Linked DNA regions of Drosophila melanogaster. The protein of the gene in region 3 interacts with the protein of the main gene of each other region in a pairwise test. Each region holds a gene or a part of one and is shown on either strand. Other genes may lie near its edges.

What was found.
Region 1: the proteins of CG5225 (region 3) and Abcd3 interact in a two-hybrid assay, tested with the Drosophila melanogaster proteins (one large-scale study listed by BioGRID).
Region 2: the proteins of CG5225 (region 3) and CG7017 interact in a two-hybrid assay, tested with the Drosophila melanogaster proteins (one large-scale study listed by BioGRID).

What each region holds. Positions count from the first base shown.
Region 1 is NC_004354.4:19,745,412-19,757,715, forward strand, and holds the start of Abcd3 (ATP binding cassette subfamily D member 3), read left to right. Parts: upstream 1-5,358; 5' UTR 5,359-5,726; exon of another isoform or gene 5,727-5,936; 5' UTR 5,937-6,022; coding exon 6,023-6,135; intron 6,136-9,459; exon of another isoform or gene 9,460-9,892; coding exon of another isoform or gene 9,893-9,933; intron 9,934-11,018; coding exon 11,019-11,131; intron 11,132-11,200; coding exon 11,201-11,391; intron 11,392-11,459; coding exon 11,460-11,557; intron 11,558-11,622; coding exon 11,623-12,086; intron 12,087-12,156; coding exon 12,157-12,304. Other genes in the region: CG33932 (uncharacterized protein), read left to right, coding at 1-142; parvin, read left to right, coding at 778-898, 1,231-1,320, 1,400-1,671, 1,839-2,459; Alr (augmenter of liver regeneration), read left to right, coding at 3,502-3,897, 3,977-4,218, 4,278-4,440.
Region 2 is NT_037436.4:20,206,371-20,217,832, forward strand, and holds CG7017 (uncharacterized protein), read right to left. Parts: upstream 5,753-11,462; 5' UTR 5,664-5,752; coding exon 5,654-5,663; intron 5,383-5,653; coding exon 4,313-5,382; 3' UTR 3,922-4,312; downstream 1-3,921. Other genes in the region: CG6996 (uncharacterized protein), read left to right, coding at 1,255-1,258, 1,498-2,588.
Region 3 is NT_033777.3:17,026,731-17,033,259, reverse strand, and holds CG5225 (uncharacterized protein), read right to left. Parts: upstream 4,568-6,529; 5' UTR 4,555-4,567; coding exon 4,524-4,554; intron 4,462-4,523; coding exon 3,829-4,461; intron 3,717-3,828; coding exon 2,596-3,716; 3' UTR 2,559-2,595; downstream 1-2,558. Other genes in the region: CG31268 (uncharacterized protein), read right to left, coding at 13-896, 962-1,351, 1,413-1,443; Pxd (peroxidase), read right to left, coding at 5,359-5,464, 5,523-5,628, 5,692-6,061, 6,123-6,279, 6,342-6,529.

The DNA.
Region 1 (12,304 bases), on a different chromosome or scaffold from region 3:
GCTCATCGCCATCTTCAAGTACCTGCTCTGCCTGAAGCTATCCAGCAAGACGGGCCTCGAGTATTCGGAGGTCTTCTCGCCGATCTTCGTTCTGTTGCAGCTCGTGGCTGTGCGCGCCTGCCAGTTGCCCAACTCCATCTAAACCATAGACGTAGTATAGCCCTAGTTCCGTATTATACATATATGTAACTATTCTGAAAGCCTTTAAATCATTGGATTGGTAGTTATCTGTATACGCAATGTGGTACAATAATTTTTAAGCGGTACGAAATTTATCTTTCTGGATATAGCATATCTAATATATACGAATTATATCTGATCTGATTCGGTATGAAGGACATACATACATACATATGTTGTTGTGCTTTTTAATCAATGATCTAATGATCTACGCATTATAATTTTTTTAAAATTTCCAACAATTTAATTTGATGTACAAATTCAAAAACTATTAAGCTGATATGAATTTCTTCTAGCTGTTGTTGTCAAAAGCCACATTTTTTTTAAATTATAAATGAAAAATAACATTTAAGCTCATTGTTTTAATTTAATCTAAGGTCTTTTTAAACAATTTTTATAATTGGCAATTTAGTTTTTATTCGATTTTTTTGGAAGTTTCTCTTGAGTCCGAACGCCAGTGTTGGACAACATGTGTGGTGGGCCTGCGATCAGGTGGCAGCCCCAAGGGAAACTGATTGCTCAGCTCCGCCCGAAACGAATCGAAACAATAACACAAACTGTTCACTTAGTCCGGAATTCTTGGAATCCAGCAGCACCATGTCCACACTGAACCGCCCTAAATCCCCGCACACGCCCACCGCCATTAAAAAGGGCGAGAAGGAGGACAGCTTCTGGGACAAGTTCAGCACTTTGGGCCGCAAACGCGGCACCCGCGAAGGTAAGTCCACTTGATGATTGGAGCTCTCCAGATGGCTATTGTCGGCCAGGAATTGATGGGTATCCCAGAGTATTCCATTCTTGGACCCCTGAACCTCCGAAAAGTGGCCCAAAATGACCCAATGGATCCTCCCCCTGCGCACTGGAAGCTCTTCTGGGAACAGATGTGCGGATGCGCTGATTAATCAGAACATTGCGTCACTGTTGACCCACACAAGCAAACGGCGCTGATAATCGAGAGTGTGTGCGTTTGTGTGAGATGGCCTTGTGTCGTCACCGTTTTTGTTTACCTTGTTGATACCCTAAATACGCATCCGCTTGCTCCATTTGCAGTGAAGAAGGTCCAAGAGGAGGGCAAGTACGCCATCGACTCGCCTGGATCGCCCAGCCAGTATGACATCCCGCCGGAGGACTATGCCCTGCGTAAGTGCATTCGTTTTGAAGGGGCATCTCCTCGTATACCCATCGCATTTCCCACAACTCATCACATTTGATCCTACAGGCGAGCACGAACAGCGCGCCGTCATCGATCCACAGTCCATCAGTGATCCCCAGGTGATAAAGCTGCAGCGCATCCTCGTCGACTGGATCAACGACGAGCTGGCCGAGCAGCGCATAATTGTTCAGCACCTGGAAGAGGACATGTATGACGGCCAGGTGCTGCACAAGCTGTGGGAGAAGCTCACCGGCAAGAAGCTGGACGTTCCTGAGGTCACCCAGTCAGAGCAGGGCCAGCACGAGAAGCTCAACATCGTCCTGAAGGCCGTCAACCATGTAAGTAGTAGTAGTTTATGTTTTGCAGGATTTAAAAATCGGAGTTACCAACATTTAATTATTTATCCATTCTTAAAGTCGAATAGAATAATTTTTATTCGATTTACAATTAACATTCCCTTTTCTCGCGATATAAGAATAAATTTTATCCTTGCCCACACCCACAGACACTCGGCTTTCACCAAAAGATTCCCAAGTGGTCGGTGGCCAGCGTGCACTCGAAGAACATTGTGGCCATATTACATCTGCTGGTGGCACTGGTGCGTCACTTCCGGGCGCCCGTTCGCCTGCCAGAGAACGTGTTCGTGACCGTCGTGATTGCGGAGAAGAATGCGGGCGTGCTGAACGCGCAGAAGTTCCAGGAGCAGATAACGTCCGAGTACGACGACCTGGGCATGCGCTGCGAAAAGGACGCCTTCGACACGCTGATCGACTGTGCGCCGGACAAGCTGGCCGTGGTGAAGAAGTCCTTGATCACGTTCGTGAACAAGCACCTGGCCAAGCTGAACTTTGAGATCAGCGATCTGAACACGGACTTTCGCGACGGCGTATACCTGTGCCTGCTGATGGGCCTGCTCGGTGGATTCTTTGTGCCGCTGCACGAGTTCCATTTGACGCCGCAGGACGTGGATCAGATGGTCAGCAACGTGGCCTTCGCCTTCGACCTGATGCAGGACGTGGGCCTGCCCAAACCAAAGGCGCGGCCGGAGGACATCGTGAACATGGACCTCAAGTCCACCCTGCGCGTCCTATACAGCCTGTTCACCATGTTCAGGGACTTCGCCTGAGTGAAACCCGGATGGAACGAGCCAGCGGGTTGCAGGAGCAACAAGCGGCGCCAATTTTACATTTTATATTAACTTTTTGATAGTGTTTACACGCCTAATTTATGTGCGTTCTCGAAACTGATTGTAGGCGATGCAGCGGTTAAAGCTTACTGATCCTAACTCTCAAAACCACAACTAAATGCTGCGTCGCGTATAATCAGCCCAAGGAATGTTTATATATATATATATATATTTATGTGTCGTACGTCTAACCACTGCGATCTGCTCCAGATTCAGATTGCTCGGAACAGGAAGGAGCAGAGCAGAGCAGAGCTAACCCAAACCCAAAATCCGGCGGCCAGTTGTTAACTTGTCTTACTCACGTGCCAGACGTTGTAGTTGTTACTAAGTGAATTTATTGTATTAATACATTATTTGAACACAATAACCGAGATTGTGCCTTTAGATCACACAGAGCTTTTGCAAATTATGTCACAGATCAGATTTTAACGCTGTAAATGTAGAAGTTTACGGAAAAGTCTTAAAAAAAAATTTTATTGTGTACGTTAAAAATTTGGATCAGAAAAATCAATAAATATTGCCAATAGCATATGTGTTATTCTATTTTAAACAGTTCCAAGGCGCAAAATTTATCTGGGGCTGCAGCACTCACAAACGCCAGCTTCCATCCTATTCACATGTAAGTTCTTTCGAGCGTCTCGAATTGATTGAGAAACAAACCTTAGTAATTTTCTGAACGCTGTGCTATTTGAATTGTCGCGGTTGCGCGCGCAACTCGCAACGGTCTGGTATCGATCACAGCTGCGAGCAGGCTGCCAGATCGCTTCCCGTTCGGGAACGATTTCGCATCGATTTTCGATTGCTGGCCGGTATAATTTGAAAATGTTACTTTGCTGACCGGATTTTGGTCCTTGGCCAGATGTTGGCCATGAATCTAAAAGCCAGTATTTAGTAACTTGCGTTGATTGCAGCCGCTTAACTAAGCCGCTTAGCCAGATATGTCCTAATGTTATGTGTTTCGTTTCGAAACAAGGTGGCAACCATGCGCATGCTTTTTATGATTTTCACAATAGCCGAGCGAAGTTTCAAGATTCTAGAACTACCCACCACACCAACGCTTCTGCTGCGCCGCCAGTCCCACAACTACGGCTACGACTACATCAGCCCCACGCACATCGAACTCAGCCGGGAAGCAACTCGCCTGGTAATTCGCCGTCTGCAGCGCACCGTTCTCCGCCTGATCCGTGACCCGGACTTCATCATGTCTGCCGAGGCGAATCCCGAGATGGATAAGGAGCACCACGAGTCCCCATTCGCAGCGAACCGCAAGGCCGGTGCCAGCGGCGCCGGCAAACAGGACTCGAACTGCCGCACCTGCAACGATTTCAAGTCGTGGTCCAAGCAGCAACGCCTCATCTCCAACGTGCAGAGCGCCAAGGTGACGTGATCGCGTTGGCCACTTCGCCTTCGCAAGCAGGACGATAACACAAGAATCTCCCACTTTCATACTCCTCCAGGTGAAGCACATGGCCGCCGCCGAAAAGCTGACCGTCAACGCCGCCGAAGATCCGCTGCCCCGCGACGACTGCCCGCTGGACAAGGTGAGGCTGGGAATTTCCACCTGGGGACTGCTCCACACCATGGCCGCCTTTTACTCGGACAACCCCACGGACACCGAGAAGCGCGACATGAAGACCTTTTTTGAGGTTCTGTCGCGCCTTTACCCCTGCGAGTTTTGCGCCAAGGACTTTCGCACCGAGTAAGTGCATCTTCAATCCATTTGAAAACGCTGACACTTTAGCTGGACCTCTGTTGCAGCCTGGACGTCAACCCCATCAATGTGAACTCCCAAAAGGAGCTAGCACTGTGGCTGTGCAAGTTCCACAACCGAGTGAACGACAAACTGGGCAAACCGCTCTTCGATTGCACCAAGGTGAACGAGAGGTGGCGCGACGGCTGGCTAGACGGCTCCTGCGACTAGGCGCCGCAGCTAACCAGCGCCGAGAAGCCCCGTCTCCCGCCCGTTGCAGGTTGCCATGTTGACCAGACTTTGTCCCACATTTTGCTCGGCTGGCCCACAACTACAACCACGGAACACGGGACTCCTGCTCGGCGGTGTACCGCCGCCAACCCGAAACTGTGCCCTGTTTCTGGCCAGAGGCCATGCCCACCAGTCGGAACCTGCGTCAGCGTGACATTAAATTGAGTTATGTTGTAATAGAGCGACACATCGAAGGTCCATTGTTAAATGATTTGCTGGCTATGAACTCCATTAGAATATACACATTATGTTGAGGACCCGTATTATGCCTTCTCACTGGCCCTGCAGATATCGCAATCTCTAATCTGCCGACTGGCGTTTATTAGATTAGAATGGGGAAGGCAAATGCTTTCCACTTCGATAAGATGGGAGTGGAAAGATCTAAAGCGGAGTTGGAATACAATGCTTAGTTGGTTCGAAATTAGGGGATTTGGCTGATACTTATATAGTTTTTAGATTTCCTTTCTATAATACCTAAAGGACTAAAGGTCTTAAAATTTGTCTGCTCTGGTTATATTTTTTAATATTTAACTTAATTTTTTTTTGCAATCAACGAAACATTAACATTTTATTCATTTAACATTTTAATATGCTTAACATAAGAGATATAAAAATTAGTGGAATTTTCGTAAGAGTAAGCCATTATATGATTTACTTATATAACATGATTGCTCAGCAATAGTTTAGGTAGTTTAAGCGGGGAAATTTAAATTTGGCTAATTTAAAATATTTAATACCTCAAATTTAGATGAACGATATTTTCGATTCATAATTATCGGTGATAACTTGTTCGATAGCTCTTCGTTCAGAAATAGCCAGATTTGGCGGCGAAATAGCTGCCCCCGCAGCGCCGCTGCCCGCACATTGTCGTGGTAGCCAACACTAGCGCACATCGCACTACAGTTAGTTGCCTGCTGGCTTTTGCGCGTCGCACGTATCACTTCGTCAGATTTCTCGATTTGGTCGAGCTGAGTAGAGTGTAATTACCAAACAAAGAAATGCGCCTGGCTCAAATTGAATAAATAAAAGCGCCCGCCGTGTGTGACAATCACTTTGCCCACCCCCTTTGGCCAGAAAAGGAGCGCCACTAGCAGCGGAGGAAGAAGCAGCAGCACCATCACCACCACCAGTTGTAGTACAGGAAGAAGAAGAAGCAGTTGCCCTGAAAGAGAGAGAGGGTGCGAGCGAGAGAGGACGAAGCTAAGACAGGGCTGTTCGACAACCAGGTGTTTACATCCTGCTATCCACCATCTGTGTGTGTGTGCATGTCTGTGTGTTGTGTCGTCATCAAACAGCCGATTAAAATATTGAAATCCGTGCAATAAACAATAGTGTCTGTTCCCCTTTCATACTTACTATTTATTATAATTTTTTTTTTTTAATTTTTTCCTTGTGCAAACCCCCTCCCCCCACGTGCGGTTAATCGAACACTGAAGTGCGAACGCGAAATTGCGAATTGTAAAATTCACAAGGTGCCCAATTTGAAGCCAAACGAGATCCGTAGCCACATCGCAATAGCAGAATGGCCCCGGCTCTAAGCAAATTGGCCAACAACCAGAGCGCCATCGTCGGCGTGGCGGGCATGACGGCGGCCCTCTGGATAATTGCCTACGGAAAGATGTCCAACAAGAAGCGGTAAGCCCCCCCTTGATCTTAATTACGGATAATTGTGGCTCAACCATGTTATTTATGTTGCCTGTGCAATATGCAATATTCTACGAACATCTTATTGCACAAGGTCTCGGTCTTGGCCATCGATGTGTCCGTGATATTGACTTGAGTTTTGGATCGCTGTGTATTTATGTACAAACAGATTTGTTTGCGGGACATACGATGCGATGCCACTATTGTGGGTCATCTGGCGGACTGCAAAAACTGGTTTTCCGATGGCCGTTTCTGCCACACTGTATGCACTTCCCCCTCATTGTAGTCCGGTTTCAATTGATTCGTCCAGCAGCCGCGCACAGTGGGCCGGACAGTTCGTTTGCAGCTCCAAATACTGTTCTTTTCAATTGTGTTACCCATTGCCATAATCTTATAATAAGTTTGGCGACCACCAGCTTACGTTTTGAAGATTCTCAAAAAGATATTTTTAAGTGCAGTCCCAATACAAAAAAAAAGTCAACAGATCATCGATTCATTTAAGTAGATGTGAACCAAAGTAGCTGGATCTGTTTGCAGTCTATCCCTATTATGTAGATATACTGATATCTAGGATAGGTCTGAATGTATATATTGTCTGGGAGGAATGGAGGAATTCCGCGTACTTAGCAGAAGGTAGACTCAGATAGGCACTACATTTCCGGCCAAACAGCAAACTCGATTAGGAAAGCCTTCTCGGCGCCCTCGACTATTATGACCCGAATAGCCACTTCTTGGCGGCCTGCTTCATTGCGGTATCGCTTCAAGGATTTCCCCATCGAGCACCTGCGATGCGGACTTGATTCCCCGGTTAAGGGCCACGTTTCGGTGTTTGAATGGACTTGGTCTTTGCCGCTAATCTAATCGGCAACGCGCCAGTCTACAGCACTTCATCTATATGCCCCATTCCACTATCGCCACTCGTGCCGATTATGCTGTTGTTAACGCGCTCAATATTTGGTCATATTCGATGTGTGCGGGGTTCGGCGCGCAATTGACCGCTATCAGTCGATTTCATCTTATTGAATAAACTGAACGGGTAAAGCGGGCGCAATCGACTATTTGCATGACAGAGCCAATTAATTAGACAGATTGCGGCGGACAAGTGGAGTGGGTGGGTGATTGCATTGCCAGCCAGCCAGCCAGCCAGCCATCCGCATGGGATTGTGGGGGATCTGCCGTGGCTGCATGTGCCACTCGTTAATTGCTAACATTACTCCGAGTACTCGGAGTATGCCGAGCACTCCGATGTTGGATACCCAACCGGTGGCCATCACTTTCAGCAACTTCTCTGAAGTGCACTGCACTTTGGCAGGCGATCGAAATCGAGCATTTTAATGCGCTGTTTACTTTTTTATGCAACTTTTGCGAGCGAGGTAGCCGCCACTTGTGGATGGCCGCTAAATTTATGCACCATTCCATTGTTCGAATTTTGCACAGTGGATGGTGCAGTCGGTTCAATGGATGCAGTGACTGGACACTCCACAGTCCAACCAACCAAATGGGCTTCGCAAGTGGAGCTCCACTTCGATTATGCTTTCATATGAATCAGTGGTTGAATTTTGTGGTTCATTTCATATAATTTCATTTAATTTCATTCATTCTATGATTCACTTTCAAGTCCAAGAGCTAATCGCTGAATGATTAAGAACGTTGAAAGTTTAAAAGGGACTTTTCGAATGTGTCAACGAGTTTCCGAGTAGCAACGCCTCTTGCACAACTTTCAAGGCGCTTTTTTATCGGTGTTTTTTTTATAGCCTCATATCAAGGACAGGCCCTAGAATTGTTAACTGATATGGTACGGTTATGCTAGCTCGTAGCACCGCCAATAATGTCTTTGCAATCTATCAAGGGTTTGGACAATTGGACAACACACCCAAGCTCATTAGTCCAAAGGTCCAAACACTTTGACTTGACATCCAGCAGCCTGCCTTGCAATCGAACACGCAACCACCGGTGGGCAGTTTGCTTTTGGTGTTGCAACAACACTCGATTGTACCCCTTACCCGGACCCAAGTCCGTACCCATACCCACACACACACACACCCATTCCATGGATGACATGATGACACCCGGGTATAAAGCATAAACATTACAGCCGTGCCTTTTAATGACTTGCGTCGTGCCATCCACAACATTGGATGGAGAGAAGCGCAGAGGACCAGTGGCTTCTGGTTTCATTTTTCCATTTCCATTTCCATTCGCATTCCCGTTCCCATTCCCAGCTCTTTGCCTTCGAGATGGGTAATGGGTAATGGGGTATAGGTGTTAATTTGTGTACAACTTGCTCTGTTTTTCGCAGGTAGACACATTCTGTATCGCCCGGCCCGTCCCGCCGGCTGTTGCGCAATAGCTTGTGTGGCTGTGCGCGCTCCAGACTTTCGGATGGGGAAGTGGAAGAGTCGGATGGATGGAGAGACCTTGTGCCCGGGAAACGCTTGGCCCTCGATAATCGGATTGCCCCGCAAGGCAGCCATTTATCGTGTAATTTGTATAATTCTCGCCTTTACTCGGACGGTGCGTGAAATGAGATCGTAATTTCAATGCAGATTCGCAGCCGAGCTCTGACATTTGCACCTGTTGCGGATGCCACGTTGCCAAGGCCTGTATGTCTGTCTGTCTGCCTGCCTGCCTACCGCTCACTCACTTACTCACTCACTCACTCACTCACTTACTCGCTCGCTCACTTGCTCACTCGCTCTCACTTCTGAGACATCGCAAGCGGAGTGGAGTGAGCGTGTGAGTGCCGGCAGACTGACTACGGGTCTTGAGGTCTACAGGTAACAGCCAAGGCAACAGGTGATGAGTATGCCCGAGCTGTGTCGAGCTATCTGATTTTGGCCAGCGTTTATCAGACAAACTAGCTCGATAGCGGCTGCTATGCGGCACAAGAACCACTGAACTTTGATTGCAATCCGCGGCAATGTCTCTATCTGAGTCAGACGCCAACCGATCTTCTCGCGCCCGGGTTCAATGTGCCCCCCATTAGGCGATCGCCGGCGATTAGCGAAAGAGAGCTTTGGATGAATCGCAGGGGCAGGCGATTTCGGAATGGGAATGGGAATGGGAATGGGTATGGGTATGGCAATGGGAGCCACCGGTGTTGACCTATGGACCCAAACACATGTTCCACGTCTAGGCGGTGAAAACAAGTTTAATATACTACGAATCAAAAAAGGAAAACCACACGAGAGACAGCCAGACACACAGACGGATTGAAAGATAGATAGATGGAAACATATATATATATATATATATATATATATATAGAAATAAATACAAGAGCGCTATGAATAATTCAGTGATCTGCGCAGCGATATTTAAGAAATAACCAAGTCATCACGACTCGTCGCTTTTTCCAGCCTGCAGATAACCAAGGCGCGAGCTTTGTACTTTGTTTGGCCTAACATACCAGTAGCACCAGCACCAGCACCAGCACCAGCACCAGCAACACCAGCACCTCACATCTCATCACCCACATTATCCCATAGACTTCGAACCCTGGGCAGGTGGCGATTTTGGACTCCATCCGATTCGATACGATACGATCCGATCCGATCCGATCCGATCCGATTGGCGATCCAATGCCGGTTAGCCAATGGCCCAGTGGCTTGTGTTGAGCTGGTCAGCTCTGGGCACCGGTTTTCATCCGGACCTTGATCCCACAACGATTAGCAGCTGAAAAGAATTCAAACAAATTATCTCGGAAGCATTTCATGTAGCAAATTTGGGGAAATGTGCTTTTTTTTTAATGTACGCTCAAGCAAAAGTGATAACGAAAGCCCATAGCTTGTGAGTAATGTTTGAGATAGTTAAACTATTTAGCCGAATTTCCATGCAATCTAAAATAAATATTTTATGTTTTTTTTTTTTTTTGGAAATTATAATCGTTTTAATTGATAAAACTTATCGATCGGCTAATTAGTCGAAACATTTTGTGAATTACGCACGTTAAATGGTGGACTTAAAAAGTTAGCCAACTGATTTATTGATCGATTCCATGGCATCTTGTTTGGAAAAGTTTCTACATATATCTGCACAATATTGAGTACTTTGCTCACAGCGACTTCGCTTGCAGTATTGCTGCATAGACGGGCTAAATGTTTGTTTATCAAACGAATCGAATATTTAGAGTGACGATTTGTTAACGCACGCAAAATTTAGCAGGCTTCATGTGAATAATTTACCGGATTGTAAAAAGTACGAACGATGATCGAGTCGTTTTTTTATTTTTTTGTATTTATCTATTTGTCATTAACCAACCTAATGAAGTGCGGTGGTGTGAAAAGTCATGGCTCATCCCGGCGTCTTAATTGTTGGATTTAATCGCACACCTTCATTGCAAATAAGCGACTTTATGGAGACACTAAACACGAAGTTCGTTCTTTATTTGCGGCGCCGATGATAGCGCGACTTGCTATAAAAAGGCAAAGGTTGCTATTCAAATTGGCTATCCAAACAGGGAGTTTAATTATTGTGATTTATTTCATAAATTTGCCATCAACGTTGCACATTTGCCTGGCCAATGATCGAAACTGCACAACATCGTTGGCTAAAAACAGTTTTGGAATGATAAGACCACTCCTCTTATCAACATTTTTCATAACTGCTGTACGAGTTTTAATTTATTATTAAGTTTATTGAGCCATAACCCAAATCCATTAGCACTCAATGGAGATTTTGAGCAGTCCAATTGTCTGCCATCCACAAAGATCAAACATATGTATTATTATATCTATATATCTATAGAGGGCAAACAGAAAGAACCTTTGTAAATACGGCCAACTAATAGAGTTATTAATTTCTCTCATATTTTATTGCTTCAAACGACATATAGCTTAGTTACAAACACTTTTAATATGCTATCTTCATTGCAGAAAACCCGGCTATGAGGACAAGATCCAGTACACAATTGCCGAGAAGAAGGATAAGAAGGCGGGAAAGGCGCACGTTAACTCAGTATTCTTCAAACAGCTCCGCCAGCTACTCCGTAAGTAGATCCTCATAGAGATCCTTTAGCAGTCTCTCGGATCACGTGCAACCTTCCCTTCCCTTGCAGCCATCCTCATTCCCGGCTTCTGGAGCGTGGAGACCGGACTGCTCTTCCTGGTGGCCGCCGCACTGATTGGCCGCTCGGTGAGCGACATCTGGATGATCCAGAACGCGACGGTGGTGGAGAGCACCATCATACACATGAATCGCACCAAGTTCAAGACGGCGCTGCTCAAATACCTGACAGCTCTGCCAGCGGTATGGGATACTAATGCGATTTACCCACACAACGAATAGTTCTAGCTTCGCGTTGCTGTTTCTTGCAGATCTCCGTTGTGACCAACGTCCTCAAGTGGAGCTTGGGTGAGTTGAAGCTGAGGTTCCGCACCAACCTCACACACCACCTGTACAGTCAGTACCTAAAGTGAGTGCCATGGACAGATTGCTCAGCCAGTCGGGCAGATATTAACCAGACTCGTTCGATTGCAGCGGCTACACGTACTACAAAATGTCCAATCTGGACAATAGGATAGCCAACGCCGACCAGCTGCTGACCACGGACATCGACAAGTTCTGCGAGAGCGCCACGGACCTCTACTCCAACATCAGCAAGCCCGTGCTGGACATCTTCATCTACGTGTACCGCCTGACGGTGAACCTGGGCGGCAAGACACCATCGATCCTGATGCTCTACCTGCTCTTCGCCGGCGTCTTCCTGACACGCCTGCGCCGCCCCACTGGTCGCCTGACCGTCGAGGAGCAGAAGCTGGAGGGCGAGTTCCGCTATGTGAACAGCCGACTGATCACCAACTCGGAGGAGGTGGCCTTCTACCAGGGCAATGTGCGCGAGAAGCTCACCCTGCTGGCCAGCTACTCCAAGCTGCGTTCGCATCTGCGCAAGTTCCTCGAGTTCCGCGTCAGCATGGGCATCATCGACAACATTATCGGCAAATGTACGAATGCATCTGCAACTATCTACATTCGAGTGCACCTGATTCCAACATTTTCAACTTTCGCCCACAGATTTCGCCTCCATTGTGGGCTTCTACGCCGTCTCCATTCCCTTCTTCTCCGAAAACCATCCGCTGCTGTCCGGTGAGAATAGCGGCCAGCGCCTGCAGGCCTACTACACCTACGGACGCATGCTGGTCAAGCTGGCGGAGGCCATCGG
Region 2 (11,462 bases), on a different chromosome or scaffold from region 3:
ATCGTGCTCTAAACTTATAACAGAGTTCGCATTTTAAAGCTAACGACTTTATAATTGTTATAATTGTTTAACCAAATGTATATACTTGATTAAATTTGAATGAGTTTTTTACCGAATTATATAATTCAAGTAGTACCATATCAAGAAGTTCTCCAAATATGGTCCTTTCTATTTTTTTTTTCAAACAAATCAATTAAACGAAATGAGATTAGAGTAATCTAAATTAGCTTAAAATTACCTACATATTATATGGCAAAACCCACACACTTTGTTTTTAATAATATTGACTAATTGTGGCGATTCCTAGACATATTTGTTACTATCGGAACAGAAAAGTTGGACTTATGTGGTAAAGCCCAATTGACTTTAAAAAAACAAGTAAGCTAGTGTAGTTCCTCGACTTTAAGATACTCAGTACTCATTTGAAGGGAGTTCAAGGACACTAGATTTTTTATATGTGGTTTACTTGTTGTAGCATACCTATACACCAAGTAATTTTCACATCAATCTTCTATATTCTTATACAATAGTATCTTTCCTTTCAACGAACACTCTGTACACTCATTTACTCTACGACTATCAGGTACAATTAAAACCGACGATCGGCAGATTATTTCATAAAGTTAGTTTAATCGTAAATAATTTCACAATAATGTATAATTTTAAACAGTAATCTCAATAAGTATGTATGTCAGTAAGAATCGGTCATCGTGGACTATTAATAGCATAATGTCGTGTGCACCTGAGTCAGCAGATCGCAGGCGATAAACATAATAACATTTGATTTTGAAATAAAGTTAATTACTATATGTGTAATAAATTAAATTAGACCCAATCTAAAGATAGTAATTATAAACAAGCGGATACGAATTCGACAACGAATACTACCAAAAAACCAAAGGTATGACCGCACAAGTTGACAAAAATAAAAACAAATTGGGTTTTAAATGAACTGCGCACCGGCGTTGGCCAAGTTTATCACTTGTCAAATTTGGATTTAACCGAATCTGATAAAAGTGAAATATGAATACGTCATGCGTCCATTTTAGCCACTGAAGACAGTTCTAGACTAACTTAGAGCTTCCAAAATTTACAGACCTTTCGGAAAACCCAAAAGTAGCGAGGGCATAAGCATTGTCTTTCGATTTGTATTTATTGGCGAACTTGGATGGCATCCAGTTAGACGTTCTTTTCCTCGTTAGCCGTTAAGAGGTACTTGTATCTTTGGAATACTAAAAGTTTGCTGAACTCGAGATGGGTGAGTATCTCTGGCACTAGCAGATATCCATCGAAGTAACTATATTGTTGTTTCGAGAAGAATTACCATTTCATAGACAGATATAAATATAGAAAACCGTAGACTTAGGCTCAAGAAGTTCATAACGAAAACTCAAACATTTATTGAAAAAAAAATATGCAATTTAAATCGAAATTGAAAGCATACTTCACTTGCAACTTATTTCGAATATCGTACTTATACCCTTTTATGCAAAACAGACACAAAGCTCGCCTTCATTTCCGGACTCATCATGATCCCCACGATATCAGGCGCCCTGACCTTCAATGCAACTCTAATATGTAGCTTGGTGGTCAACGGAACCAAGATGAACGATCCTCGGGCGTGCAACGCGTGGATTCAGTGCATCGATGGGAGCCCTGTGAGTGGTAGCTGTGCGACTGGACTCTTCTACGACCGGGAGAGCCAGAAATGCCTGAGTTCCAGTAGTATCAAGTGTCTGTCCAGTGATCCGTGCGCTGCTCTGCCCACCGGATTCGCGGCTGATCCGTACTCCTGCAATGGTTATTACTATTGCAAGGATGGCAAGGGGACGCACGGAGTGTGCAACACTGGGATGAATTTCAATTCGGGAACGCAGGACTGCATCCGCGATTTTCCGTGCTCGAATAAAATGGACCCGGATAGCTATTGCAACATCTTGCCGGATGGGGTCTTCGTCAAGGACACGGACAACTGCAATGGCTATCAGTTGTGCTGGGATGGCCAGGTGATCAATGGAACCTGTCCGGGCACCTTCTACTTCAAGGCCTCCACGGCCCAGTGCGATTATCCGCAGAATGTGGAGTGTGACTTCGTCCCAGTGCCAGATATTAGCAAGAAGGGTGTATGTCCAGAGACGGGTGGATTTATATCGGATAACAAGACCTGCAATGGCTACTACTACTGCAAGGATTTGGGCAATGGAGAGTTCTCGCTGGAGCATGGCGTCTGCTCCGATGGAAGATTTTTCCTGGCCACCGATGGCGGAGCCTGTGTCCCGCGATCCAAGGTGAAATGCGGCTACGATCGATGCGTGGGCTTGGGCAATTCCACCATTCAGCTGGCCAACGAGTCGGATGATGGCTGCAGGGGCTACTCGATCTGCCAGGATGGCATCGTCATTGGCCAAGGAACTTGTCCGCAGGACGAGTACTTCGACGAAATAACCCAACGGTGCACCACCCAGGTCATATCATATACCGCCTGTCAGATATCGGAGGCAACCACCGGGTCCCAAGTTCCAAGTGGCACCACCACCACCACCAGCAGCACCATCACTAGCACCACCATTGCGGTCCCGGTGTCGTGAGCAGCTCCTCATAAGTATAAGTAGTGCTGTTATCAGGCCCAAGTCCCATACAAATTATAGATCAGCTCTTTGTTTAGATTTCGTGGAATTGATCACAATACAAACATCTGAATTTTCAAATGTATTTAGGTATAAAAAGATTATTTCGAAAAGCTTAGTTGTACGATTAAAAGTTGACTCATTTGTGAACCATCCGAGCCATAATATAATCTTATCCCGCCTGCCAGAAAACGTCGGCTGATGAATGGCACTATCAGCAATATTTTGGTCTCGTGAGCGACGTACGCAATCAGTTTTAATTAGACAGTTTGTTTTTTCGACGCCGATACAATAAATATAAGTGGTGTAATCAGGCGCAATAACGATTAAGTTACCAGATCACCTCTGGGCCAAGATTTCCTTGAATCGATTGCCGAGCAAGACACTCGGTAACGTGAAACCGTGATGTCATACTCAAGAACACCACTTGGAAATTTGGCGATGGGAAAGTACCAGGGAGGTAGCCATTGGATCCCATTCATGGCCCATACATGGGTGATATCACCGTTTTTAACAACTGCAATAGGAGATTTGAATGGAAAAGTACGAAGTTATCGTACTACAAAGTTGATTATTCAAACCACTTTATTCATTAGGCACCATATATGTACATGTACATATGTCTATGAGGTGTCATAACAAGATAACTTATATTATTGAGTTTTTCGGAATTTGTTATCGTTATTTGTTATGATCAATAAATACTAATACATTATAGCGAGGCTGCAAAGTTGCCCCGTTTGTCATTTGAATACTTGACCTTTCCTACATACAAATCAATCATCCGCCCTGTGGACTTGTATAACTTCCTTCTTAAAGTGGACATAATTGATTTCTATGGAGAACGAAAGCGCGTCGATGCATTTCATTTGCATTTCACACTCATACAATATTTGTGGACCTAATGGGTAACATCGACCCTAATAGTTGAATTTAATTAGTGATAGACAAAAACGACCCTTGGGCGTTGGATACTTCTTGCTCGCCTGATGGCCAACACGGAAATAAGCGATCGCGGCAGCTCCGAGTAGCGAATTCATTATCTGGACTATCTGGAATCGGTTTGAAATTCTCCGAACCCTCCACTGGGGTACAATTTTAATTAAAACTGATAATTTTTTGGGCACTGCAAGTGTCACGAAAACAGATTGCCAAATATGAATCGTTGTGTGGCGCAGTTTTGATATCAAAAGGGTTGCCAGAAGAATTTTATCACGCCAACTTCGTTTCGCTAATGAACATTTCCGCCAATGTAGTTCAAAAATCAGTCCAAAAAATCATAGTATTTCTCTAGCATTATTTATACCAATTCATATTTTATTGTTCAAGGTTAGGGTAACATCTTCTATAAAGAGGAAGCAGACGGTAAAATTCGAATGGAAAGGGAATAAAACTACAATAGAGCCAAATGCAATGGATAAACTATATATATATACATTTCAGGTTTCAATGGAGTAACACATTTATTGGACATTTTTCGAGAAGCTAATATTTGTAGACCCATTTCCATGGTAAAAAGTAAATGGATGAATGTCATAAAACTTAACACTTCCCACCACAAAGTACATGAATTCCTTTCAAGCAATGCATTTGACCTCCACCATGAATTGGATCGATTTATTGGATATTTAAATTGGATGCGATTTGGTAAGGATTGTGGTAAGGATGCGATCTTCTGGGACAGCCTACACGGAACATGCGATGTTGTGGTAGTTGGTCTGTGTGCATCCCTGGTTGCGCTCGTCGAAGTAGTAGCCCGTTGGGCACTGGCCCAGGCTGACGGTCACTCCGCCGGAGCAACGTCCATAGCTCTGGCAATCGCCGGCGACGTTTACGTAGGTGATGTTGGTGCCCACACACCTGTCCAGCTGGCAGCGTACGTTAAGTCTGTCGCGGCACGAGAGCTTCTCGAAGTCGAAGTACTGGCCAAGTGGACAGCTCAGGTGCTTGGGCTCCGTGTCGTGCTTGCCGGCGACGGGGCTGCCACAGATATAGTAGTGGGAGCAGGACTCGTCGTCGGCAAAGTAGCCAACGCGAGCGGATCCGGTGGCACTGTCCAGGCAGAAGGTGTTTTCCGGTTCCGGCAGGGCGGCACTCTCGTAGCAGGACACCTCAGCCACATCCACGCAGTAGCCGAGATTAGCATCGTAGGCACTGGCCACTGGACAGGCTCGGCTGTGCAAGACCTCGCTGACGCACTCGTAGTACTGGTCACAGTGGACGGGATCGGCCAGACGGGTGTTGTTCGGCAGGGATCGGCAGGCGGGACTGGTCTTCTTCGTCTGGCTGATGGGGCAACGGTACTGCTTTTCGTACACGCAAGACCTCGATACGGGATGGAAGATCAGCTCGTTGGGACAGTTGGCCTTGATCTGCTTGTGCGACTTGCACAAGATGTAGCCGCGACAATCGCTGCTGCTGGGATCCACGATGAAGGCGCCTTCCGTTTCGTTGGCGCACAGGTTCGTGGCCTTGTCCGCAATGCTGTCGGCATAGGGACACACCGCGGCGCTGGAGGATGCCAGGATGCAGCGGCCTAGCTCCTTGTTGTAGTTGAGTCCTGCGGCACAGCCGCCCTGCTCCAGCACGCTGTAGTTGCTGGCGCACCGCACCCAGTTGTCGCAGGTATTCGGTCGCAGGAAGCTTGTCTCCTGCGGCAGCAGGTCGCACATCTCGGCCACCGATAGGTATTCAAAGTCCTCGATCACGCCGCCCAGGGCGCTGGCCACAAACAGCAGCGACAGGACACCGCTAGCTGCAAGTAAAATCGAAAATCGTGGGAACATTGTGTCAGGAACAGGATGGCATATCCAGTGTGCTTTACCATTTATTAACCCCAAACATGTGAGTCAATTTTTAAATTTAAACTACGATAGCTGGTACGAAAATTACCCTTCTGCCAGAAAGCCCTATCAACTTAAAAACTTAATGTTTGAATTTAATTTATATGTACATTTTTAAAGAGCAATTCTTTCAAACGAAATCCATCACTGTCAATGTTCAGCTGGCGTCCCACTTTAGTTTACCTCTATTCATGTTTTATATCCTTTGGTTAACTTGTATCCTGGTTTCTCGAACGCCCCGCTGCGATCTTGGCGGCACTCACAACTCAAATGATACTGCACCTTCGGAGGCTGGAGCTCTTAAATATGCAAAGGCCATTCTGCTCGGTTTTGTTCGGCGAAAAACAATTTCCAAAATGCACACGCTATCTCAATCAGAACTCCAAGATAGCGCTGATTTTTCGTTCTTCGATTTTTGATTTACTGATGTACGATAGCGGGGCCGCATGTAAATTACACGGCAATAACATCGGAATTGCCTATTTCGCAGAAGAACAGACTCCTGTGGTGGCGGTGGTATCGCATCGGATTGATAAGGGAATTGCATATGTCACGCCAAGATCTCCAAGATCTCAGCGCCATTGACGGTTCTCGAACATCTGAGAAACGCTGGAATAGTCATCTACAGACCGAACTCCCAATCTCATCGAATATCTTAATTCGGAGTTCGGACCAATAAATGAATTGCTGAACGATTTCTGCGTCAACTGAGCTCTTCGTCATGTCTCTTTGAATATTATTATTATTTTTTTGTATCATTTTGTTACCTATAACTATGCTATATTATACGATACCATACTAGAATATACTATACTATACTTTAGCCGCCGTTTACAGAAGTTAATATTCTAATACAATTTCACGTGTCTCTTTTATTTTTGATCTGTCCTTTAGCTTGGTTCAACAGCGACTGACTGCCGCGCTCTCTGCAGAGTGGCGAGTCGATTAGTCGATAAGTTTCTCGATAATATTTGTATGTTAAGGATGGGTGTATGAGTGTATAAGCTTATGACTAGATTGGCTATGTATAATTAGGTATGTATGACTAAGAGTAAAGGAAGAGGGTAGAAGGAGCAGCCTACTACAACTCGGCCGTCCTGACTACTAGATCTCCCGATCGTAGGATTTTATAACAATTAACGTTTCTTAAAGCTAAGGGTCCTGTTTCTTATTTTATTCTTCTTAGTGGAGATACTTTTGAACGGTCTTAAACATTTTTTTGGTTTTCTTTTCTTCTTGTTTGTTTTCTTTGTTTTACAATTGCTTCTTAAATTATACTTTCGATTTCGTACAGAGTTTCTTAAATTATACTTTCTATTTTGTACAGAGTTTCTCAAATTATACTTTCTATTTTGTACAGAGTTTCTCAAATTATACTTTCTATTTTGTAGACTCTTAATTTTTCTTTGCCAGTGTTTTATATTCTGTATGCTCCATACACCCCGGTAAGGATTGCGAGAAATTTGAAATCCATCAACATCTTCCAGAAGGAAGCGATCATTTTTGAGAACTTTGCTTATGACATAGGGTCCTTTATGCTTTGGAATTAACTTCTTAGCTATGCCTGTTGTTGAGTCAAAATTTTTAACCATGACGTAGTCGCCTTTTGTGAACACTCCTGATCGTTTTCGTTTTTTGTCAACATATTCTTTATTGTATGCTTGTGCTATTTTCTGACTTGCCTCGCCTTTATTTCTAATACTTTCTAAATCTCTTTCTTCAATCGTTTCTCCAATTTCCTCAATTTTTTCTTTTAACTCATCCATAATTTGTCCTTTTTGTTGTAACCCAAATAACATTATGCTAGGATACTGTTTAATGCTGCGGTGTAGTGTATTGTTCAGGGTATATTCGACCTTTTCTAAGACTAAGTCCCAGTGTAGACCTTGATCAGGTTCAATTAACTTGCTAATCATTGGACCAAGACTTCGGTTTATACGTTCAACTTGACCGTTGGCTTGTGGCGATCCTGTTGCAATTTTTATGTGTTTAACATTGCATTCTTTCAAAAATGAGTCAAAATCGCCAGACGTGAAACATGCTCCTCTATCTGATATGATACACTTAGGCCTACTGTATGCTCTGAAGTAGTCATTTAACGATTGTATGACTTCTTTTGTGTTCGTAGTTTTTGTTGCGTATAGTCTGACAAACTTTGTGAATGCATCTACTATCACTAGAATATGTTTCTTCGGTCTAGCCAAGTCTACTGGACCATAATGGTCAATATGGATTATTTCAAAAGGTTTGTTTCCCTTAGGTATGTTGTGTAGAAATCCTTCTGTTTTTCCTGTTTTGGGACTGAATGAAATACATTTTAAACAGTTGCTGATATGTGTGCTACACTTCTGTTTTAAATTTGGAAACCAATAGTTTTTCATTATAGCTTCTATCATTTTGTCTCTTCCTACGTGTCCAAGTTCGTTGTGATATTTGTATAACACTTGTTCTTCCATTTCTATCGGAACGTAGAACAGCAATCTATTTTCATTTGTCTTTTTGTAAACTATACCATTTCTCATCTCATACAATTTATTTTCTGTGTTTTCTAACAATTGCCTGATTTCTTTTAATTTTGTATCTTTCCCTTGACATATAACTAGATTATCTTCGAAACTGTTTGTTTGTATTACCATAATATTTGTACACCTACTCAGTGCGTCAACATGTTGCATGCGGCTACCTGCCCTATGCACAATTTCAAAATCATAACCTTGGAATTCTAAAGCCCACCTGGCTATCCTAGGGTTTAGCTCTTTTTTGCTTAGGGTCAAAATTAATGAGTTGCAGTCGGTGACTATTTTAAATGTCCTCCAATGAAGATAAACTCTAAATCTACGTAACGAATAAACAATGGCTAAAGTTTCTAACTCGAAACTGTGGTATTTTGATTCAATATCTGTTGTCCGTTTTGAAAAGAATGAAACTGGGTGCCATTTCTGGTCCTCCTTCTTTTGCATAAGTACAGCACCGAATCCAGAAGAACTTGCATCACAATGCAATTCTGTTTCGTGTTTATGATTGTATATAGCTAAGACCGGTGACTGTATTAATTTATCTTTTAACATATTAAAACAAATCATTTCTTCACTACCAAATTTGAACGGTTTATCTTTTTTTAGAATGTCATGCAATGGTTTAGCTAGTCTAGAAAAATCTTTTATAAACCGTCGAAAATATGAGCATAATCCCAAAAAACTTTGTACTGTATGAACATTATTAGGTATTGGGAAATTTTTTATTGCCTCGATTCCTTTGTCATTGGGCATTATGCCGTCTTTATTTATTATGAACCCAAGATATTTTATACTCGATTGCATAAACTCACATTTGTCTATTCTTAATTCAAGTTTATTTTCAACTAATCTTTTAAAAATTTCTTTCAACGTTTCTAAGTGTTCGTTTATATTTTCGGTTGCCAATAGAATGTCGTCCATATATACTACTACTTTGTTTTCTCTAATCATATCAGCAAAAATTTTGTTAACAAATCTTTGGAACACAGACGGGGCGTTTTTGAGGCCAAATGGCATTCGCAGCCACTCGTATTGGCCTAATGGTGTAACGAAAGAGGTGTATTTTATTGATTCTTTTTTAACATGCACGTGGAAAAAACCGTTTTTAAGATCGAGTTTGGTGAAAACAGTTTTCTCATTCATTCTATCTAACAAGTCATCTATAAGAGGTAGAGGATAGTTGTCTTTCATTGTCATTTTATTAAGTTTTCTAAAGTCGACGCACATACGTAAGTCTCCAGTTTTCTTTTTCACTAAAACAATAGGCGATGCATATTCCGAGTCGCTTGGTCGTATAAATCCGTTTTCCAAATATTCGTCTAATAGTTTTTGTAACCTGTCTTTTTCTGTGTATGAAAGCCTCCTAGGAGAACAGCTAAACGGTTTCGGGTTTTTCAAACACAATTGTATTTCACTTCTAACTGTCGGTTCATTTGGCCTTTTTGCATTTATATAAAAATTTCTAAACAACCTATCGAATTCTAGTTGTAACCTATTGCTAACATTTTCTCCTATTTTGTATTCTAACTCACTTTCAGTTACATGACATATTCTTAGTACTTCCTTATCAAAGTTGTGATTTAATTGTTCGTAAACGTTTTTATCTTTTGGCAATTTAAAACTAACGATTTCTTTTGAAGTGTTAACAATTTCATCTTCTGATAATTTTGATTTACTGACATTCTTTTGTTGATTAACTATTTCATCTCTTAACGATATTGGACCAGTTTCTTTATGCTGTTGATTAACGATTTTATTTTCTAACGATTTCGGACTAATAGTTGCATTTTTAAACGATTTTGGACTAACAATTTCATTCTCTAACGATTTGGGGCTAACAATTTCATTTTCTAACGATTGTGAACTAACAATTTCATTCTCTAACGATTTTGGACTAACAATTTCATTTTCTAAAGATTTCTCAGGACTATCATTTTCAGTAAACATTGATATTTTGTTTATTTCCATGGGTTTTCTCAACGCAATCATTCCCAAGGTGTACGGGTCTAAATTTAAATTGCATGCAGTTAAAAAATCTCTGCCGAGAATAACATTATACCTCATAGACTGGTCGCAAACAATGATTAAACGAAAATATATTTTTATTGATCCTTTCAATACATAACATGTGGTTTGTCCATGTGTTTTGAGAATACAGTTGTTTAAACCAAAATAGCAAGTATTAACTAGGGCTAACTTCATTGTCTCGTTAATAAGTGACTTTTTAATGATAGATATAGGACTGCCAGAGTCTATGAGGCATTCTGAAATTATGGGCTTATAAGCATTTTCAAAAAAATTAATTTTAAACCATCTTACATAATTATTAGATGAAACGCTCTTCCTTGTGGGACATTGTGCCACCAGGTGTCCAAGTTGTCCACAGGCGTAGCACGAACCTGGTTCACGTTTGGGCTTCTTGCAGATGTCAGCTTTGTGTCCTCTTGAATTACAGTTTGCGCATCGTATGGCATCTTTGTAGTCGGTTGGCTGTACAGGTGGCTCCCTCCGAGCTGGCAAACGGATGTTCGAAAATGCGCGTAGCATCTCCGATGGAGTAGAGAAGCATTGAATCCGTGCTTGGGTACGGAAATTTTGTAGCGGTATGCCCTCTATCATCTGGTCCAGTAGTTCGTCGTCGTCGATGTTTATCCCGTTTGAGAGAGCCATCTTCTCGTCGTAATAACTGCAGAAATTCTCCTCGGTTTTCCACTTGCGACTCTCGAATTTTCGCCGGATCTCAGCCTTGGATGATTGCTCGCCAAAAGTCAATGACAATTGATCAAGCAAATTGTCAATTGGTTCGATCAATCGAGCAGGGTGCGCATGTAACCAGACTTGCGCGTTTCCTTTAAGTTTAGTGATGAGTAAGATGCGTAAATGGTTGTCATCGATGTTGAAAGTGCGTGCGATATTTTTGACCACTGTTATCCAGGCACGCGCGCAAGTTTTCCCATCGTAATCGGTTATCGTCTCTTTGGCGAGAGCGAGAGCATCAACTGGAAAACGCTGGCTCTCCGCTCTCTCGTTGGATCGCTGCGGCGAGTGAAATGTTGTGTTCTCTTTTGTGGCGCCAGCCTGCGTAAACTGCGCCGTCTGGATAACGGAACTAACTGTAGCCTTGCTTTGCTCTGGTTGTTGTTGTTCTTGGAACTGCAAGCTCGATCGTGTTCCGTTAAGCATTGCCTTCGCTTCTGCTAGCTCTGCGCGTAGTTGCTGTAGCTCGAACATGTTTGTCTCCCTCTCACTGCCAGTTTCGGTTGATTCTTTTCTGTTCATCGCATTCACACTTACGTGATCGGTGTTAATTTCACAATTCTGAAAATCCAGTGAAGAAAAAATGTCGTTTCCTGGTGGAGCGTTTTTCTGGGGGTGCTCCGGTGGACAATCGCCCCGAACTGCCGTTGGGATGTCTTGCAGCCTCGCGATTAATTCGGTTTTTGTGCCCTCCGTATTTTGGCCCAGAATACGTAGCC
Region 3 (6,529 bases):
GGTTCTTCAGATTCAGTTGATACTCTTGTCGCTGGGCTTTCGGTGCTCGATGTGGGTTCCAATGTCGTGAAACCTGAACTCATCTATCTCATCATTGGACATATTATATGTGGTCGTTTCTCCTAATTCCTCAGTTGGAATTTCTGTGGCTTGTGCTTCACCTGCGTTTTCACTCATTAAAGTCTCATTTTGAACTGTTGTTGTATGAATCGCATCGGGCGCCTCTTCGGTAATCGTTATTAATTTGTTAAGATCTAGCTTTTCATCTGTTATTTTAATATTATTCGGTAGAGTCGTCTCTTCCAGAATGATACTTTGCAATGTAGTATTAGATATCTGTGAATTTACTTCTTTGTTTAAAGAATTTATTGCAGATACATCGGCTGGTATTGGTATATCATCAATTTGACTACTTTTTACACCAGTTTTAGTTACGTTTTTCGTTTGTTGGGATCCGACGTGGCTGATATTCAAATTCATGCTGTTATTTGCATCAGTCAATATGTTTTTCTCGCCAAGATTGTTGCCCTTCATTTTGTTAACTGACTGACGATCTGAACTGCTTAAATCAGTAGTTGTATTTTTAATTACCTTTCGATTAGGAGTCTGCTTTCGGCGCATTGGAGCGTTTGTTTTGTGTTTTTGGGAATTGGTCACTGTTTGTAAGTTCTTAGTCAAAGTTGTTATCTTGTTACTCTGGTTGATTTTCTGACGATCGAAATGGGCGAAAGTAATTTGACTTTTGCGATTTCGGTTTTTGTGGTTTTGGGCCAGTTGCGGACTAACATTGAGATATTTAATTTCATCGGAATTTGCCCTCAAAAGCTGCGGTGCCCGAGGCTTGTTTGTCTTTTTAATGTCGTTTCTATTATCGGGTGGTGGGTTTTCATTGCTGCCTGTGGGTTTTCCATTTTTGGCGGCTTGTCCGCTGGAATTGCTGGCAAGTAAATAATGGTTGTACCTTGTTTCTGTTCATGCGATGAAGATTTGCCAGGGCGGCCTGGTGGTCCAGGTAGTCCTGGTGGACCAATTGGTCCCGGAAATCCAGTTTTACCCGGCCTACCCCTTTGACCACTTTCTCCACGGTCACCACGATCCCCCTTTTCTCCTGGCGCTCCTTCTACACCTGGCAGACCAGGAATTCCTGGTGGCCCAGGAGGTCCTGGCGGGCCTGGGCGACATTGGCAATTGGGTTGAAAGCCGTAGTAAAAGGAAGAATCTATCGCTTCAGGACTGTAATAGTACAGATTGTTGTTATTATGAGCTGGTTTCTTTGTCTTTGGCCGCGATTCTACTTCAACCGGCTTGACTGGGGAAAGCAGCCATGATCCCTCGCAAAATGCTGAGATGGCTAAAATGCAAGAATCAGGTAAAGTAATGTTCTAAGGTTCTATCTTCTTAACTCGGCTTACCTATGAACAGCAGAACCGTGAGCAGCTTCATTTCAAGACGTCTCATTCGTGAATGAACACCTGCTCGTCTTAGATCATCTCTTATATAGACCTTAAGAACAGTTGGTCTAGACTTTAATGGGTTAATGCGAAACACGTAAAATGTAAATCGCAAATCTCAGATCTCATCAGCCTAATGATTTCGCATAAATTTAACCGAAGATTGGTCCAGATACACACGCATGGAATTCGATGAGGCTCAAGAAAAATGATTTATTCCATTTTGTCGATGTGCTAATACTATTATTAAATTGATTACCACAATTAGGGCTTAAATGTTTGGTTATTATTTAAGAATTAAAATGTATATTATGGCACAAGTTTTATTAACTTTCTTTAGTTATTTATTTGGTTCCATGTCGGCATTGATTGTTCCATTTCAGCCCCCATTGTTTTATTTACGGGGCAATAAAATAAGAATACCGCAAAAATGGGACGATCTGACTTATCTTCTTCATTATCGTTATCATACAAATTGCTTTTAAATAGTGAAATTTAATATGACGTTCAAAATTCTTCAAGACTTTAAGGCATTGGATCAACGTGACGCACGCATGCTTTAAAAAGTCGTACAAAACTAATTTATGGACAAAGAAATTTATTAATGAATTTAATCAACCTAATACCTGAAAACATTTGAACTTATTAATTTCATATCTGCCAAAAGTTAAATACATATATTACAAACAATTTTACTTGCCTAGCTGATAAGATTCAACAATTTACCATTGTATTTTGATAAATGATTTGAGTTGGCAATTTCATTCGATTGTCATTGAATTAATAGCTTATTTCAATATGATTTCACTTTTTTCATATCTTTGTCCATTGTTATTTTATAGAAAATCTAACAAAGCCGCAGACATTTCCAAGAACAACGGAACTATTTTGACAGCTAACAATAACGCAGTTTATTGTTTATACATTTAAATTTTTTGCTATACGAATTCTGCGAGATGATCTTATTAATACGGAAATCTACAGAGGTTCACTGCTTTTGTTTATTATTAAACATTTAAATTTTATTAACTGTATCAAAATCTCTAAATGAAACCCAAAAAGTAGTATTTTTAAATTGTTAGAAAACCCATAAAAGACTCATATTTTAATGTTATTTTTTTATTTTCTCGTGGTGTTGGCTTATTTATATATTATACTGTTCATAGGCGTAAATGTGAAAGGGATTTCGAGGAGTTCCAATTGACAGGATAATCGGACCTTTGTTGGTTCGCTCCTCAATTGCATCTCCATCCATAGGTGCGTTATCCTCCATCATATTCACTGGGTCCATCTGGTCCTCCATCATATGGTCCTCTTCCATCGCATCATCTCCTTCTGGTACCATATAGCTTGAATCCTCATCATCGATTTCTTCAGCGCCACTCGGAGATTCGGGATTCTCCACTGTGTTATCTGCATATTCAAGGCCGTAGTCCGCATCCTCGGGTTCCGTCTCCAAGTCATTGGGCTCATTGGACATTTCCTCCTCGCCCTCCATGAAATTATTTTCGTTATCATTTTCATCAATTATGTTTTCGACAATCTCCACATTTTCATCTAGCAAGTCCAGATCATCCCGTGGAGTTTGCTCGCCACTACCCTCTGGCTTAGTGGGTTTTGGTTGATGATGATGGGGGTGCTGGTGGTGTGAAGTTTGGCTGTGTCCTCCATTTCCGTGTGTACCAGTGTGGGGGTGTGTATTATGTGGGTCCTGCCCTCCGTGATTGTGTGAGGGATGATGGTGGCCATGTCCTCCGTGATTGTGAGGGGGATGATTATGGTTGTGCTCTCCATTGTGAGGTGGATGATGGTTGTTGTGTCCCCCGTGATTGTGCCCTCCGTGATTGTGGGGTGGATAATGGTGATAACCCTTGTCTCCGCCATCATGTGGATGGTGAGGTGGATATGGTGGCGGATAGGGGCCTGGATAATTGTGGCCTGGATGGTGATGGCCTCCATGGCCACCGTGGGGTGGATACGGATAGTAGCCTCCCTTATCGTGTCCTGGTGGATAATAGTGATGGTGGTGTCCGCCCTTGTCTCCCTTATGACCTCCTTTGTGACCTTTATCCCCCTTATGTCCCTTTGAGGGCCAGGGCACTGGCACTGGCAGAGGAATCCATGGTCCCGGATAAGGACCAGGTGGTGGATACGGGTACGGTGGGTATGGGTACGATGGTGGTGGAGGTGGCGGTGGTGGTGGTGGTGGTGGGGGTTGTGGATACGTAGTGCCTGGAGGTCCTGGAGGACCCGGTGGTCCCGTTCCTGCAAGAGATTAAATACTCAGTAAAATTTTGGAAAATGACTTATAATATATCCTTTCAATATTTTCACTGTTAGAGCGTTGTGATATATATGAGTAACGATTTTCTCTTACCTGGTGGGCCTGGAGGTCCGGGTGGACCTTTGGATCCCTTGTGGTGATGATGGTGACCATGTTCACCTTTCTGCGGTGGCAATGGTATGGGAACTATAATTGGTGGCGTCACGATCGGCGGGTGGGGATGATGTGAATGCGGGTGTGAGTGTGGTGGTGGTGGTGGTGGAGGCGGCGGAGGCGGAGGTGGAGGTGGTGGCGGTGGCGCTGGATGATGATGGTGGTGATCATGATGATCATGGTGACCATGTCCCGACTTGTGACCGGGTGGGCCTGGTAGTCCCGGTGGACCAATAGGTCCCGGTTCACCTGGTTGGCCTGGTAGTCCGTAGTGACCGCGTTCTCCCTTCTCTCCTCGCTCGCCCTTGGACCCAGTGTGTCCCTTGGGACCTTGCGGACCAGGCGTTCCTGGTAAGCCCGGCGGTCCAGGAGGCCCCGGTGGACCTGGCGGGCAATTGCAGTGCTGTGGCGGAGGCGGAGGCGGCGGCGGTGGTGGCGGATAGTAGTGCTGTGGTGGCAGCTTGTAGATCACACTTTGTGCTGGCGCCGGAGCCGGAGCAGCTTGTAGAGATGCTATCAGTCTGCCCGTCTCGGCACTCGGGTTCTTGGAATTCGCTAGGCCAAAGGCCCAGCCTGGAAAGGAAATGAATCCCAATTAGAAATCAGATCCATCCTATTTGAATCATATTCCTTACCTATCCAAAAAATCACTGCGAACAGCCTCATGGCGAAATGGTATCTGCTGCCTTTCTCCGGCGGACGGATCACTTTTATACCGCATTATGAACTCTTAATCTTGTATGCACACTTTGTTTAAATCACTTTCATTAATCTAGATTCACTAGAACCGTTATATCATGTCCATTCAGAAATCTGCTTGCCAAATCTCTCGGAAAATATGCAAACCTGTTCGCGATGATGCTATCATCCTGGGTTCTCTCTAAACTTATATATGTAAATTTATGTCCAATCCAAAAGTGAACCGCCTCTGAAGTATTAATATGTTAACTTCCATTTGAAAACAGAAGACATATGCAAAAAAGAACACATTCTCTGTTGCCGATTGTTTCGCTTTACGATTCGAATGAACCATGACTTAAAAATGGCAGAAAAAAGAGTTTTGTCTCTTAATTGGCCGTTTCTATCAACTTGTTCACACCTCGGTCGCGCGTCTCCATATGATTAACCCCGATGAATCGGAGCTATCCCAAAGTCAACGAAAGTGTAAAGGTTTTCGGACCCGGCATTTCTTTATCCGGGCCTATTGCATAAGAAGGGGTCGGGTCTGGATGGCATTGGGATTTGCCCTTGACTTCTTTTCATTTCCGTGAAATCTTACAAACATTATCAGGTCACTGAAAGTAAAGCTGATTGTTTAAATGGTAAGGGCTTTATTTCTGTACATCAGTTTGGGACATTATCATACAAGGGGGGGGGGGGGGGGAGGGGCTTTGCATTTACGTTTATGTTATTGATTAAGCTAAATGTATTTGTATTCAACTAGTTAAGCATAGATCCCACAGCAGCGGATTACTTCTTTCCGTAGTGAGACGGATCTACAGTGGCATATAGCTTTTGATCAATCCATTTGGTGAGGTCGACTTGTGGAATATTTGAGCACGGTATAATCGGATTCCTGTAATTTCAGAGCTCAGTTACTTTCCAAATAACCAATTTAATCAATTTAAACTTACGAATGGGAAACAGTCCGGAAAGCTTCGGGCTGCATGGATGAAATGTGGTTGCCATTGTCGCACAGCAAACGAGCCATACTGGCCTTCCTCAGCTCCTCCAGTTGATCTACGAAATTAGACATAAATAAATTAATATTTAAAATAGTCAGAGGAGAAATGTTCTTTTTACCAGGAGTAAATCCAGTGAGCTTGTCTCCGTTTTCGAAGAAGAAGCGATCGCCCACTCTGGTTCTGTAGAATTGTTCCGTGAGGATACACAGGAAGGTGGGTCCAGCCAAAGCTCCGGCCACATGCGCCTCCAAGGAGGCGCCCACAGTCAGATCCACGTCTTCGTGGCTCGGGTATAGCGACTTAAGTTTTTCCAGAATTGGTGGACTTATTAGATCACCGTATCCCTCCCACGAGTGGGCACGTCTCAGTCCGCAGAATTCCCGCATGTCATTGTAGGAAGCCAGACCGTGATCGCGATTACGCTGAATGTCCAGGGAACGCAGATCGGAACCGAAGGGCATGTTTCTTCTGAACAGGAAGTGCTTGATCTAAGCCAGGAAAGGTTGAGAGGTTAGAAAGGTGGTCTCATTTTGTTATTTGTGTACCCACCTGTCGGTCAAAATTGATATCAGTTAGCTCTTCGGGCTGCGTGGCGTGTCCTCTGGTCAGGGAATCAAAGTTATCTCCAACCTCAATAATACCGGGACGATTGAACCAGTCGCTGAGGGTCAGAGAGCCGAGAACTTGACGCAGCTCGGACAGTAGACTGCACAAAAATTTTAAAATTAATAAAATGTTCTTAACTCATAATAGTAAATAGGCACTTACTCCAAACGACCTTCAATCTGGGAATGGAAGTATCTGAAAGCGGCCGTCGCGTGCTCATTCAGCACCGATGGATCAATGTTGGGATCGAAATCGTTGATATAGCTTCCGGATGGAGCCTTGTAGATCAGCCGGTTCTTCAGCATGTTCTCGCCACCCAAGAAGATGGGCAGCCATTCGTAGTAACTGAT